Linked DNA regions of Macaca mulatta. The protein of the gene in region 1 interacts with the protein of each later gene in a pairwise test. Links are inferred from orthologs where the notes say so. Each region holds a gene or a part of one and is shown on either strand. Other genes may lie near its edges.

The links. The genes of interacting proteins can lie anywhere in the genome.
Region 2: the proteins of MTUS2 (region 1) and SNAI1 interact in binary tests that used the Homo sapiens proteins (3 or more experiments, as listed by UniProt). The two-hybrid records come from large-scale screens. The link is inferred for Macaca mulatta from reciprocal best matches to the Homo sapiens genes MTUS2 and SNAI1.
Region 3: the proteins of MTUS2 (region 1) and AQP1 interact in binary tests that used the Homo sapiens proteins (3 or more experiments, as listed by UniProt). The two-hybrid records come from large-scale screens. The link is inferred for Macaca mulatta from reciprocal best matches to the Homo sapiens genes MTUS2 and AQP1.

The regions. Positions count from the first base shown.
Region 1 is NC_133422.1:9,392,800-9,396,316, reverse strand, and holds part of MTUS2 (microtubule-associated tumor suppressor candidate 2), read right to left. Parts: intron 2,091-3,517; coding exon 1,992-2,090; intron 863-1,991; coding exon 743-862; intron 1-742. UniProt on the Homo sapiens protein: Binds microtubules. Together with MAPRE1 may target the microtubule depolymerase KIF2C to the plus-end of microtubules. May regulate the dynamics of microtubules at their growing distal tip.
Region 2 is NC_133415.1:102,827,294-102,831,243, reverse strand, and holds the end of SNAI1 (zinc finger protein SNAI1), read right to left. Parts: intron 1,543-3,950; coding exon 1,358-1,542; 3' UTR 511-1,357; downstream 1-510. UniProt on the Homo sapiens protein: Involved in induction of the epithelial to mesenchymal transition (EMT), formation and maintenance of embryonic mesoderm, growth arrest, survival and cell migration.
Region 3 is NC_133408.1:97,453,253-97,457,161, forward strand, and holds the end of AQP1 (aquaporin-1), read right to left. Parts: coding exon 3,801-3,909; intron 3,472-3,800; coding exon 3,391-3,471; intron 2,568-3,390; coding exon 2,388-2,567; 3' UTR 511-2,387; downstream 1-510. UniProt on the Homo sapiens protein: Forms a water channel that facilitates the transport of water across cell membranes, playing a crucial role in water homeostasis in various tissues.

The sequences.
Region 1 (3,517 bases):
GAAATCCTGGGTGTTCTGTGCTCCCCTTTACTAGCTCTGCAGGAGCCAGGCTGGTGGGCTGAGGTGGACGAGTGTGGGTGAGAGCAAGGACTCTGTTCTGGACTGAATGTTTGTGTCCCTGAAAATTCCTATGCTGAAACCTAACCCCAAAGTGATGGTATTAGGAGGCAGAGCTGTGGGGAGGGGATTAGGTCCTGAGGGTGAGCCCCTGTGAACGGGATTAATACCCTTATAAAAAGGGCCCCAGGGAGATCCCTGGCCCCTACTGCCTTGTGAGGACCCGAAGCACTGGGCCAGGACTCCTAGCTCCATCTCCGCATCTGTAAAGCGGCTGGGGGCGGCAGCTCCTCCACAGGCAGCTGTAGGAGTTAGGAGCAGGCTCGGGGAAAGTGCTCCGTGCAGTGCCTGGGCACTGGGGATGCTGCATTGTGCTGGGTCACCACACGTCCCCAAGAGAGGGCAAGGAGACAGCAGGACTGTGGGAAAACCAGCGCAAAGCAGAAAGAGGCCACCCATCAGAAAGGCTCCAGAGTTGGACAAGATAAGGCCACCTCCAAGATTCCTTATGAGAGCTCCTGGCTTCCTGGGAAAGGCCTGCGGTGGGATTTTCTGCATAGGTGTAAGCAATGGGCAGGTAACAGACACACCTGGCTGAACACCTCAGTGTCAACGATGACCTCAGTGATGACAGCAGGAATGTCATGGAGGTTAGTTACTCTCGCGAGCAAACGGACCAACTCACCAGCTTTTCCAGCTCGAGAATCTTCTTTTCCTGCTCATGTATTTGCTGATTCTTCATCTCTAATACCTGCTTCAGACTCTTCATGTCTTCTTCCAAGTGCTGATAAGGAGCCAATGCAATCTACAGGGGCAGAGAGCCATGAGCTGTTGACCAGGGCTCCCGACAAAACCCAGTATTAACCAATACCACGAATCCAGCTAAATCCATCCTCCTGGGACAAGCGCCCTGATGGCAACTGCGACACCAAAGAGAGAGGATGCTACAGCCTTCCCTGATAAAGTTTCCCACTGAGAAGCCTCCTAAAATCCAGTTCTATGGGGGAGCAGGTGAGACACGGCCATCGTGAACTGGAAAGTCTGACTCCAGAACTGCTGGGTGCTGCCAGCCTATGCCTAGCAGGGAGCTCATGGGGTAGAAAGAGTAAACCCAACACTGGCTTTTAACATTCACCCGGAAGACTTGATTCACGAGGTAGCTGGGACTCTTACAGGTCTCACCTATGCCCGTAAAGAGCCCATGCATAGGAAATGAGTCAAGTGGTTTAAGAAGCAGAAAAGCCATTTTAGACAAAAGTCACGTTGGGGTAGTGCTGCTGGATGTAACAAATTAAAATACAGTAGGTCCTGTTAAATCCAAATTCAGATAAATGACATTTTAAAAAATTCAGTATAAGTATTGCATGGGACAGACTTATACTCAAAAATTTATCTGTAATTCAAATTTAACTGGGTGTCCTGTATTTTATTTGGCAACCCTACATTAGAGGGAAGGAACTTTGCCAGCTTTTCTGGAAAAAATTCCCCTCAACCTGTTAACGCATGCTGCAGCCAAGGCTGCCCCACGTCAGCCTAAAAAGTTGCGGGAGAACGGGCTGGAAGGGGTGGCCGGGCCGGGGGAACGGGCCGCAAGGGGTGGCCGGGCCGGGGGAACGGGCTGGAAGGGGTGGCCGGGCCAGGGTGGGGGTTTCCAGACCATGCTTATCACAGGAGCCCTGGGACTCCAGCTGGGGAATGCTGCGGAATTTGGCAAAAATAACACGTCGCTGGAGAAACCCACAGCTGCTGTCTGTCTCAGGGGAGAGGTGCTGACAGCAATTGTTTAAAAATCCAGGGGAGGCCGTGACCAGCTGTCACTTCAGCAGTGGATTCACAGAGAGGCCTTGTCTCGGGACTGGACTGCTGAGGGAGCCCCGCTGGCCTCGCTGGGGCGGGGTCCCTGCGGGGCTGGAAGCCTGGAATCCAGACACTACCTCCAGCTGCTCCTCTGTGTTCCTCCTCAAGGCCTCTTCGAAGCGGCGGGCTCTGTCCCGCAGAGACTGGCTCTGGAAGGTCAGCGTGTCCACCTGGTCCTGCAAGTAATGATACAAGGAGTCCAGCTGGGGCCACTACAGACAGCAGCCACCACAGCCTGGGCAGCTGTGATCAGTGGGCCACCACTGTGCCCTGAGCACCCTCAGAGTGTTTCCCTGGGGGCTGGAGAAAGAGATGCCAAAGGGGAACCCCCATAGCCACACAATGGAGGAGGGTGTCCCCCCGCGTCTGCCCTCAGCTCACTCCTCCTTGGTGCTTTGTCAGGAAGAGACCACAAAAGCACAGTGAGCCGGGGGCGTTTCACAACCTCTGATCCCACAGAGGCAGACAATCCTCAGAGAGAATCCTCAGAGGCGCCTCTTGTCCAGGAGGCACCCAGCCCCTGGCTTTGGGAAGGACCACGATGAACGTATTTCAAAGATGTATTCTCATTTAGGAAGCTCAATCCAGAACCCTTCAAGCCCTCCTTGACTTCCTTCTCTCCCTTGGGACCCCTCCCACATCACCAAACCTTCTCATCACGAAGTCCATAATCAAGTCCTGCCATCCTGAATGTCCCTAGAACCCACAGACTCCCCTGAGCTCCGGCCACTCTGCTGGCTACTTTCTGAGACGGTTCCTGTTTTTTTCTGAATGATCACTCCTTTGCCCTCACACTGTAGTGAGGCACTCTTTCTAACGTGCAAACCGGAACCTGTCCTTCTCCTCTCTCCTACCCCACTGCCCTCAAGCTGCAGTGCACACTCCCTAACACAGCGTCCTCCCAGCCTCGCTGCCTCCCTTTCCTCTTGTGCCAGCTCTCCTGCTGCCAGTGCCTTCCTCCAGCCAGCTCCCTCTCACTCCCGCTTCACTCTGGCTCCCACACAGCCTTCCCGGCCTCAGGACTGGGTTGCATGTCCTTGATAGGAGCTGCCACGTAAGCCAACTCCACACAGTCTCCTCCTCCCTGCTCAGACCCGCCCCGTGGCCAGACTGGCGCTCCCAGCCCTTAGCCTTCCCATGCCTGCCAGTTAGGCAGGCCGCTGGCCACTCTCCACCTGCAGGTTGAAGGAATATAAGGGTGTCTATGGAGACACTGCACCCCTTCCCCAGCTCCCAGCGCAGATGCACCTGCACTGACCCTGCCCCACTCAGCTCCGGCCATGACTCTCAGGACCACAGGCTGGCAAAGGACCGCTGATGCCCAAGGAGAGCTTCACCCGTCATGTCTCACTCATGCAGACCAGTCCAAAGCTCTTTGCCCAGCACCATTTCTATAATATCAAAACACAGAAACTAGGGTCTCCCATTAACTCTTCTAAAAAAGTATATAGATATACAGATACACACACAAAAAAAAAAAAAAGAGAGAAGGAGAGAGAAAGAGAGAGAGAGAGACAGGGTCTCACTCTGTTGCCCAGGCTGGAGTGCAATGGTACGATCTCGGCTCACTGGAACCTCCACCTCCCAGGCTCAAGGGATCCAA
Region 2 (3,950 bases), on another chromosome or scaffold:
TCTCACCCTCCTGGCTCCAGCCAGCCAATTTCCTTGCATCAAAGGCCATTTGGTACCCAGCAGCAAGACGGAGGTGTGGGACTGACAAGGAGGCCCGAGGGGGCCGGGAGCCCTTGGAAACAGGAAGGACATCCTCTGTCTCCTTGGTCGCATTCCACTCGCATGTGGGGGAAGCGGCCCCAAAAGACCTGCAGTGCTGGGGCAGCTTTGCAGCCTGCCTAGTTGATAAGACCCAGGAAGCCAGCTCTGTACCCCATGCGCCAAATCGGTTTCAAAATTCAAGAATGAGAAAGTAAACAAGAGCCACAGTGTATAGTGAAGAGCTCATATGGATGCTGCTGGCTCACCCAAACACCAGCAGACAGAACACCCAGGACTCCAAAGCCCTGTGACGTTTCCAAGGACAAGATTTAAGGCTGTGTCAGAAATATCTAAGCTTCAGGAATTCCTGTCTCCTCCTCCCCTACCAAAGACCTTTTAAAATACCCACTCCTCTATTACACCAGACTCTTTTCAATATATAAATTAACTGCTTTATTGAATATCAATAAACTGTACATATAACTATACAAAACGTTTCCTTGATACAAAATGTTTGAAATATAAATACCAGTGTACCTTTAAAAATGTAAACATCTTCCTCCCAGGCCCACCTGTCAGGCCCCCAAAATAGTTCTGGGAGACACATCGGTCAGACCAGAGCACCCCACTTGGGCCCCCGACAAGTGACAGCCATTACTCACAGTCCCTTTTGAGACACTGTTAAATTGCCCGGGAAACAGGTGCCACCCCACCAAACAGGAGGCTGAAATAGCTGCCCGGGCTTGGGGCATCTCAGACTCTAGTCTGCCACCGCCTCCGCAGGGCCCGGGGCTGCACCTGGGGGTGGATTATTGCATAGTTAGTCACACCTCGTGGAGGGTGGCCTGAGGGTTCCTTGTAGGGGGGTGTGTGTGAGGGGAGTGGGGTCCCCTGAGTGGGGTGGGAGCTTCCCAGTGAGTCTGTCGGCCTTTGTCCCGTAGCTCAAAGCAGCTGTATCCAAACAGCTCTGGATACAAAAACCCATGCAGAAAGGCCAGCTCAGGAATCCCCTGGGGGCTGGGACTGCCAGCTGCCCTCCCTCCACAGAAAAGGCCACGGGAAGGCCTCCTCCAGAGCCCACTGAGGGACCCAGGCAGAGGAAACAGAACCAGAAAATGGTCTTCAAGGTCCTGTGGGGCTGATGCAGCCAGAAGTGGGGCACTCAGAAGGGAATTCCATGGCAGTGAGAAGGACGTGGGGTCGGTCCTTCCTGCTGGATTGGGGGAAGGCTGTCGGGCAGGGGGCAGGTATGGAGAGGAAGAGGGAGCCTCAAGGGTCAGCGGGGACATCCTGAGCAGCCAGACTCTTGGTGCTTGTGGAGCAGGGACATTCGGGAGAAGGTCCGAGCACACGCCTGGCATTGGTACTTCTTGACATCCGAGTGGGTCTGGAGGTGGGCCCGCAGGTTGGAGCGGTCAGCGAAGGCGCGACTGCAGTGGGGACAGGAGAAGGGCTTCTCGCCTGGGGAGAGAATGCCAGAAAGGCCGAATGAGCCGTGGGACAACAGCTGGCAGTGATGGGAATCCCTCCCCGCATACCCTAAACCCCGAAAGAATCCCACGATCCCAGGAAAGTCAGGACTCAAACACGCAGCCAGAGTCCAAAGGCTGGGACCTGACGGAGCTCTGCTGCTTCCCACTGTGCAACTCTGGGCAAGTTGTCTGGCTTCTCTGAGCCTCCATTTTTCCACCTGTAAAATCGGGCTATCCATCCCCCACTCATAGGGGTTGGTAAGTGACAGAAGGTAGGGCACAGTACTCATCCACATCCCGCAGAGATGTGCGAAGTGGTCAACGACGACCGAACATCTTTACTGATTCGTCCTACTGTCACTTATCGGGGCCAAAGCCAGAGTCAGCCTTAAGAGGCCTCCCCACCCCCACCTCCAAGCTGGTTAGGCCACTCCTGGGGCTGGGCCAGCAGCCTGCTTTCCTCACTACCCCACCTCTGGTGCTGTAATCCCAAATCTCCTTGTCTGTTCTCCAATCAGGCTGAGTCCCATAAGGGCAGGGGCCTTCTTTGAGTCCATTCTAAGCCCCAGCCCAGGGCCTGGGCCCCTTTCTAACACCGAAGAGGCTATAGAAACCTGTGCCTCTGACACACCATCTGCCTGGCCAAGGCTGTGTCGGAAAAAGTCTTGCATATGGAGCTGGGTACCCAGTAAGTCCTCAATAAGCCCTTAGAGAATAATTAAGTCTGCTTTAAAAATTAAAAAGGCCTCAGAGGAGTCTGCCCCTCACTCATGCCTTGTAATAATCCCTGCTCCAACCAAAAGGCTACAGTTCCAAAAACACCAATAATGCTGTTTGTTTTTTTCTGGGGGATGCAGCATTTTCCACATAAAAGGTCATAACAATAACTCATTAAACAAAAATCTATTGAAGCCGGGTGTGGTGGCTCACGCCAGTAATCCCATCACTCTGGGAGGCCGAGTGAGGCAGGAGGACTGCTTGAAGCCAGGAGTTTGAGACAAGCCTAGGCAATAAAGCCAGACCCTGTCTATAATTTTTTTTTTAAATCTATTGATCTCCTACTATGTGCTAGACACTACTCTATAATACTGAATAGTCTCTTTAAAAAATATGCAATTCTCCAATCCCCTCACGCCCAGCCTGACATGCCCGCGAGGCCAGGGCCTGTCTGTGAAATCCCAGCGCTGGATGGAATTTAAGAGCTGAGAGTGAATTCATTCCATCACCTCCTGGGTGCCTAGGGTGCTACACTGAGCTACCAGGGTAGGAGAGAGTCCAGAGAATGATTCCAATGGGACCCATGCATTCCATAGGGACTTATGGAGCACCTGAGAGCTGGACTCACTCTCATGGGGCAGAAATGGAAACTCGACACTCCAAAGGGTGGGGGACACAGAGGACTGGGGGAGGGGTGCCTGAGCACTACTCCACTCTGCCATTACTCAGCAGCCTCCCCACGCCAGGCCTGAAGCGTTTGCTGATTGCATTCTAAGTCTTCATGTGAATGAGAAGGGTAAGTTCACCCTTGTGAACTAAGGGCTGACTCTAGAGATCTGGAAAAGGGGCTGGAGTCCATTTGTAAGACTGGAGTTACGATGGCACCCCCCTTCCCTTCCCAGGGCTGTTGGTGAAGTCCCGAGCACTACCTCCTGCACAGTAAGTGCTCTAAGTGTGATGAGACACAAACCCGAACAAAAGGGGAAGGAGACATTCTAGGACATGATGGGCTGGGGGCGGGGGCTGCACGCATATGCAGGAGGCACTGACCCCCACTCCTCAGATCCCTCGCCCCCCAGACGCCTTCATGGTACTCCTGGCAAGTGTGAAATCGGCACCAGGCCGGTGGGGACAAAGGGCGCCGAGGGGGGCACTGTACATGCGATACCCCCGGATTAAAGGGGCCTGCCACGCAGTGCGCCAGCAGCTGCGACTGGAACAGGTGCTGGGCACCCCTGCCCCATGCACCTGCTCCACCCCTCCCAGCCCCCACCCACTGGGCCCACCATTAAGGCACACAATGGGAGTCAATGAGGACCGAAATGATACATTTCAAGGGGATTTCTGTGCCTCAGCCATGCCTTTACATTAAAATAATGTCCGGATGGGAGGCGAGAGAGGCAGGCAGGAGAGCAGCATCCTGAGGGGTTCAAATCTCCCTGTGAGCTGGGCAGGCACGGGGAGCCCAGCAGTTGGACCTTTACATGTTAAAATCAGGGCTACTGGTGCAGGAAGGAAAAGAAATGGGTAGCCTTAGTCGAATAAGATGCCAATAAAGCCCGCGAAATGCCAGTCCTCCCAGATACCTCACTGACCCTCACTGCTCAGAGGTCAGGCGCCGGGCCAGGAATGGTAGAACCTGGCCAGCTTGAACCCTGTGGAATCTTCTCCCTCAACTGT
Region 3 (3,909 bases), on another chromosome or scaffold:
CTGGGCTCTGATGAGTGAGTCTGTCTCCCCTGAGATGCCCAGCCCCGGTCAGATGGGTTGCAAATGTGAGTGGAGGGAGGGAGGAAGGTGGAACAATCCCTAGTGTTCCCTGGGCCCTGCTCTGTGGAGGGTAGAGGGGATGAGGGGGCTGTTAGACTTCAGGCCTGCTTTCCCCCATCACGTCCATACTCCGGAATCAGAAATGGCTCCCATCGCTCCATTTAAACTGATCAGAAGCCTGCCCCTTTTCCCTGACCCCAGGTCTCCAAAGTCATCCCACTGGGCTCTGGAAGTCTCCGGCTAGGGGCAGGACCCTGTATCCCTCAGATAGGGTTTTGGGGGTGTGGCTGTATCCATCGCCTGAGATTGGTGGTCTTGAAGGCAGAAGAGGAGGCAGTGGCTCCTCCTCAGACTAGGTCTCTAGCAGTGGACTGATTTCCTTGTGGAGTCATCCAGAAACATTTGTGGGGACATGGCATCAAAAGAAGAAAAACTACAGGAAGCCCGAAGGACCTTACAAGTCATTTTCCTTTATTTGCTTAACATATAATGAAATTCCAACTCCAAAGAGACATATATGCAGAGCAGACAGATGCAGGGCCCTGGTGTGCAGCAGCCTAGAACCAAGCAGGGGGTGGGTGTGCCCCCTCTCCCCTCCATCAAACCCTCCCCACTCCTGGCCCCTGGCCATTGCCCAGGCAGAAACTGAGAAGCTGGAAATGAGAGGAATCAGCCTTGTGGTCCAGGGAGTAGCCAGAGACAGGGCCTTGGTTACTAGGCCTGGCCAAATCATTGTTTAGCTGAAACCGTGGGCCTCAGTTTATCTGTTAAATGAGCTAGAAGTTCCTGCTAGGGAATGGAGAAGACAGTGTGCAGTCGTGATGCGCTGGTGATAGCTAAGGGCCTCCTGGTTGTCCCTCTGCTTCTAAATACCTGTGTAATTGTGTCTCTTGGTTTCTGTTGCCATCATGGCTAAGTGCACAGTGGTGGAGCTGCTCTGGCCCTGGTGGAAATGAATGGACTTATGTAGATAGATGAGTGGAAGAATTCAGCCTTCAAAGCTGATTCTGATCTCTGAACTGTCCTTGGGCTGCAACTATAGCAACCTCATCACGTCAAGGCTGACCTCTCCCCTCCAGGTCAATGCGGAGGGAAGGCTGTGGCCAGGGGTCACACGGCAAGCCTGTGCAGGTTACTCACCTGCTCAAATGCCTCCAACCAGGAGCTCATGAACAAGAGAAGAGCTTGCTCCATCCTGCTCAGGACCAGCTGAGGGCTTGGAAAACCCCCAGGCCCAGCAAGGTCATCTGCCTCCATGGGCTGACCTGCATCAGGGTCTTTCTGTTCTCAGGCTTTGGGCTTCAGATAGCTCAAGTGCTCTTTGATAAACATACGCCAGCATAATGGTGACCTGTGTCTACACTGATGACAGGGAGTAGAGAACTGAAAGAATGAGCAAGATAATGCAGTGATAGATGGAAAGACCAACTGAAACTCAGAGAAATAACATGGGTATTCCTCCTTCACCCTCTAAATGGCTTTATTCTGTCTAGGGAAGCCTCTCCATGGGGAACAGAAAGTTCCAACTACCTGGCTGGCTGTCGATCTCTGCTTTGTAGCCTGTCTGCTCTGCACACACGTACACAGAGGCGTGTGGCAACAGGCATGCCCCTGGGGAAAGAACACAGGGCAAGTGGAAAGAGCAGCCCTGGTCTAGACCACATCTTCTGGACCCATACTGTGTCTGCACTTAGGGGTTGCAGGCCCATTGAGCTCTGCCGATCCCTGCCACTTTGCAGAAGGAGGTCGCTGAGGCCCTGAGATAGGGACAATTCCAAGGTCAGGCCATAAGTCCGAGCGGGTCGGGGGCCTGCGAGCAAGCAGAGCTGAAGGAGCAAAGCTTGCCCCTCCACTGCACCTCCTGGGATCTCTCCCCTCCAAGCACCATTGGGAGCAAGGTGCATGTTAGGAGAAGAAGGAGGGCCATGCCCAAAGGCACAAAGCAATTACAGTAGAATCCCAGGCACCTGCGCAGGTGAGTCGGCGAGCAACTTTGGGGCAAGGGGGGACTTTGTGGCACACCTCCCATCACACTCTGAGGGGGCGACTAGCAGGTGGGTCCCTTTCTTTCACCTCCTCCACGACTTCAAGGGAGTGGATGTATTGGTAAATCTTGGTCCCCAGGAAGCTCTGAGGCCAGGAAACAGAAAGAGAAAGAAAGAGATAGAAACACCCCCAAATGAGGCTTGACCATGCAGGTCTGGCAGATCTTGGGGAAGTGACTTTGGCCAGCTTGTCAGAGTGTCTACAATATGGATTTCACCCCTCCCCTCCCTCCGCCCGTCCCTGCCCCTGCCCCCTACGTGGATGCCCAGGCCAGACCCCTTCTATTTGGGCTTCATCTCCACCCTGGAGTTGATGTCGTCGGCATCCAGGTCATACTCCTCCACCTGGCCGCTGGTCCACACCTTCACGCGGTCTGTGAAGTCACTGCTGCGTGGGGCCAGGATGAAGTCGTAGATGAGCACAGCCAGGGCTCCCCCGATGAATGGCCCCACCCAGAAAATCTAGGAACAGAGCAGGTACGTTGAGACGGCTCCACTCAGAAGCCCCTGGAAATCGTTCCCTGGGTTACCTCCCAGCCCACCACCCCGTTGGACAGGTTTTCTCCCACCTGCGATGGAGGCAGGTAGGAGCACCAAATCCTAACATCCTGATTCCAGTGCCCTCAAAACTGGCCCAGGCCAGAGTACGTGGTAAGGGCACCTCCTTGCCTCTGCATGGCCCAGCTCAGGCATGGGCAGTAGCAGCCCCTTCTTGAGGAAGGCCACTGCCCCCACGCTTCCAGCTTTGAAAGGGCCCCAGATACCATTGCCTAATGCAAAGCTGGCCTAGCACATCCACATCCACAACCATAAGAGACAAAATCCACTGAGCGCCTCCTCTGTGTTGCGCTCAGTTTACAGATAGGGAGTGAGCCCTTTCCTCCTCCTGGCCACCCTGAGAGGTGGGTACCACCATATGCCCCTCCGAAGCTCAGGAAACCAAGGCTCAAGCACACGGTGCAAGGTCATGCTGAACCTGAAAGTGGCTGAGCCAGGATTTGGAGCCCCACTTTCAACCACACAACTGGGATGACCTGGAGGCCAGGCAGCATGGGGCAGGGCCGAGCTGGGAGGGCAGAGACTGGGCCTGAAACTGCTCACAGTGTGACCCCACCCTGCCTCTACATGGCAGGCCTCGGTTTCCTGATTTCCTGTCCCCTGGCTGTCTCCTAGAGCCTCCAGGACAGGAAGGGACACTGTGAGAGTGGGGTCAGGCTTACCATGGGACACCAAAGCCTCCCACCCTACCTCCCTGCACAGTAGGGGCAGCCTGTGGGTCGCCTACCCAGTGGTTGCTGAAGTTGTGTGTGATCACCGCGGAGCCGAAGGACCGAGCAGGGTTAATCCCACAGCCGGTGTAGTCAATCTGTGAGGGAAAGAGACAGGGAGAGGCAAAGGCAGAGAGTCACAGGTGAAGAGAGAGTGAGAGGAGGGAGAGGGTGGAGGGAGAGAGAACAATCAGGGTGGGGGACAATGAGACCCAGCAAGAGAGGAGTGCTGACCCCAAGCTGGGCAGGAGGTCCCTCTGCTCCTCTCCAGGGCAGGACCCTGCCCCCCAGTCCCCAGCACTGACCTGCCGTCCTCCACCCAATGGCAAGAGCCCTGCCGGGAGCTCCACTGGCTGCCCATGGCAGGGCACCCCACCAGCCCCTGCCCTCCCTTCGCCCCCACCATCTGGGTGGGCCCCTGACTCACAGCCAGGAGGTGTCCAAGGGCTACAGAGAGGCCAATGGCAAGGGGGGCTGAGCCACCAAGGTCGCGGCGCCTTCGGTCAGTAGTGGCCAGCACACACAGCACCAGCTGG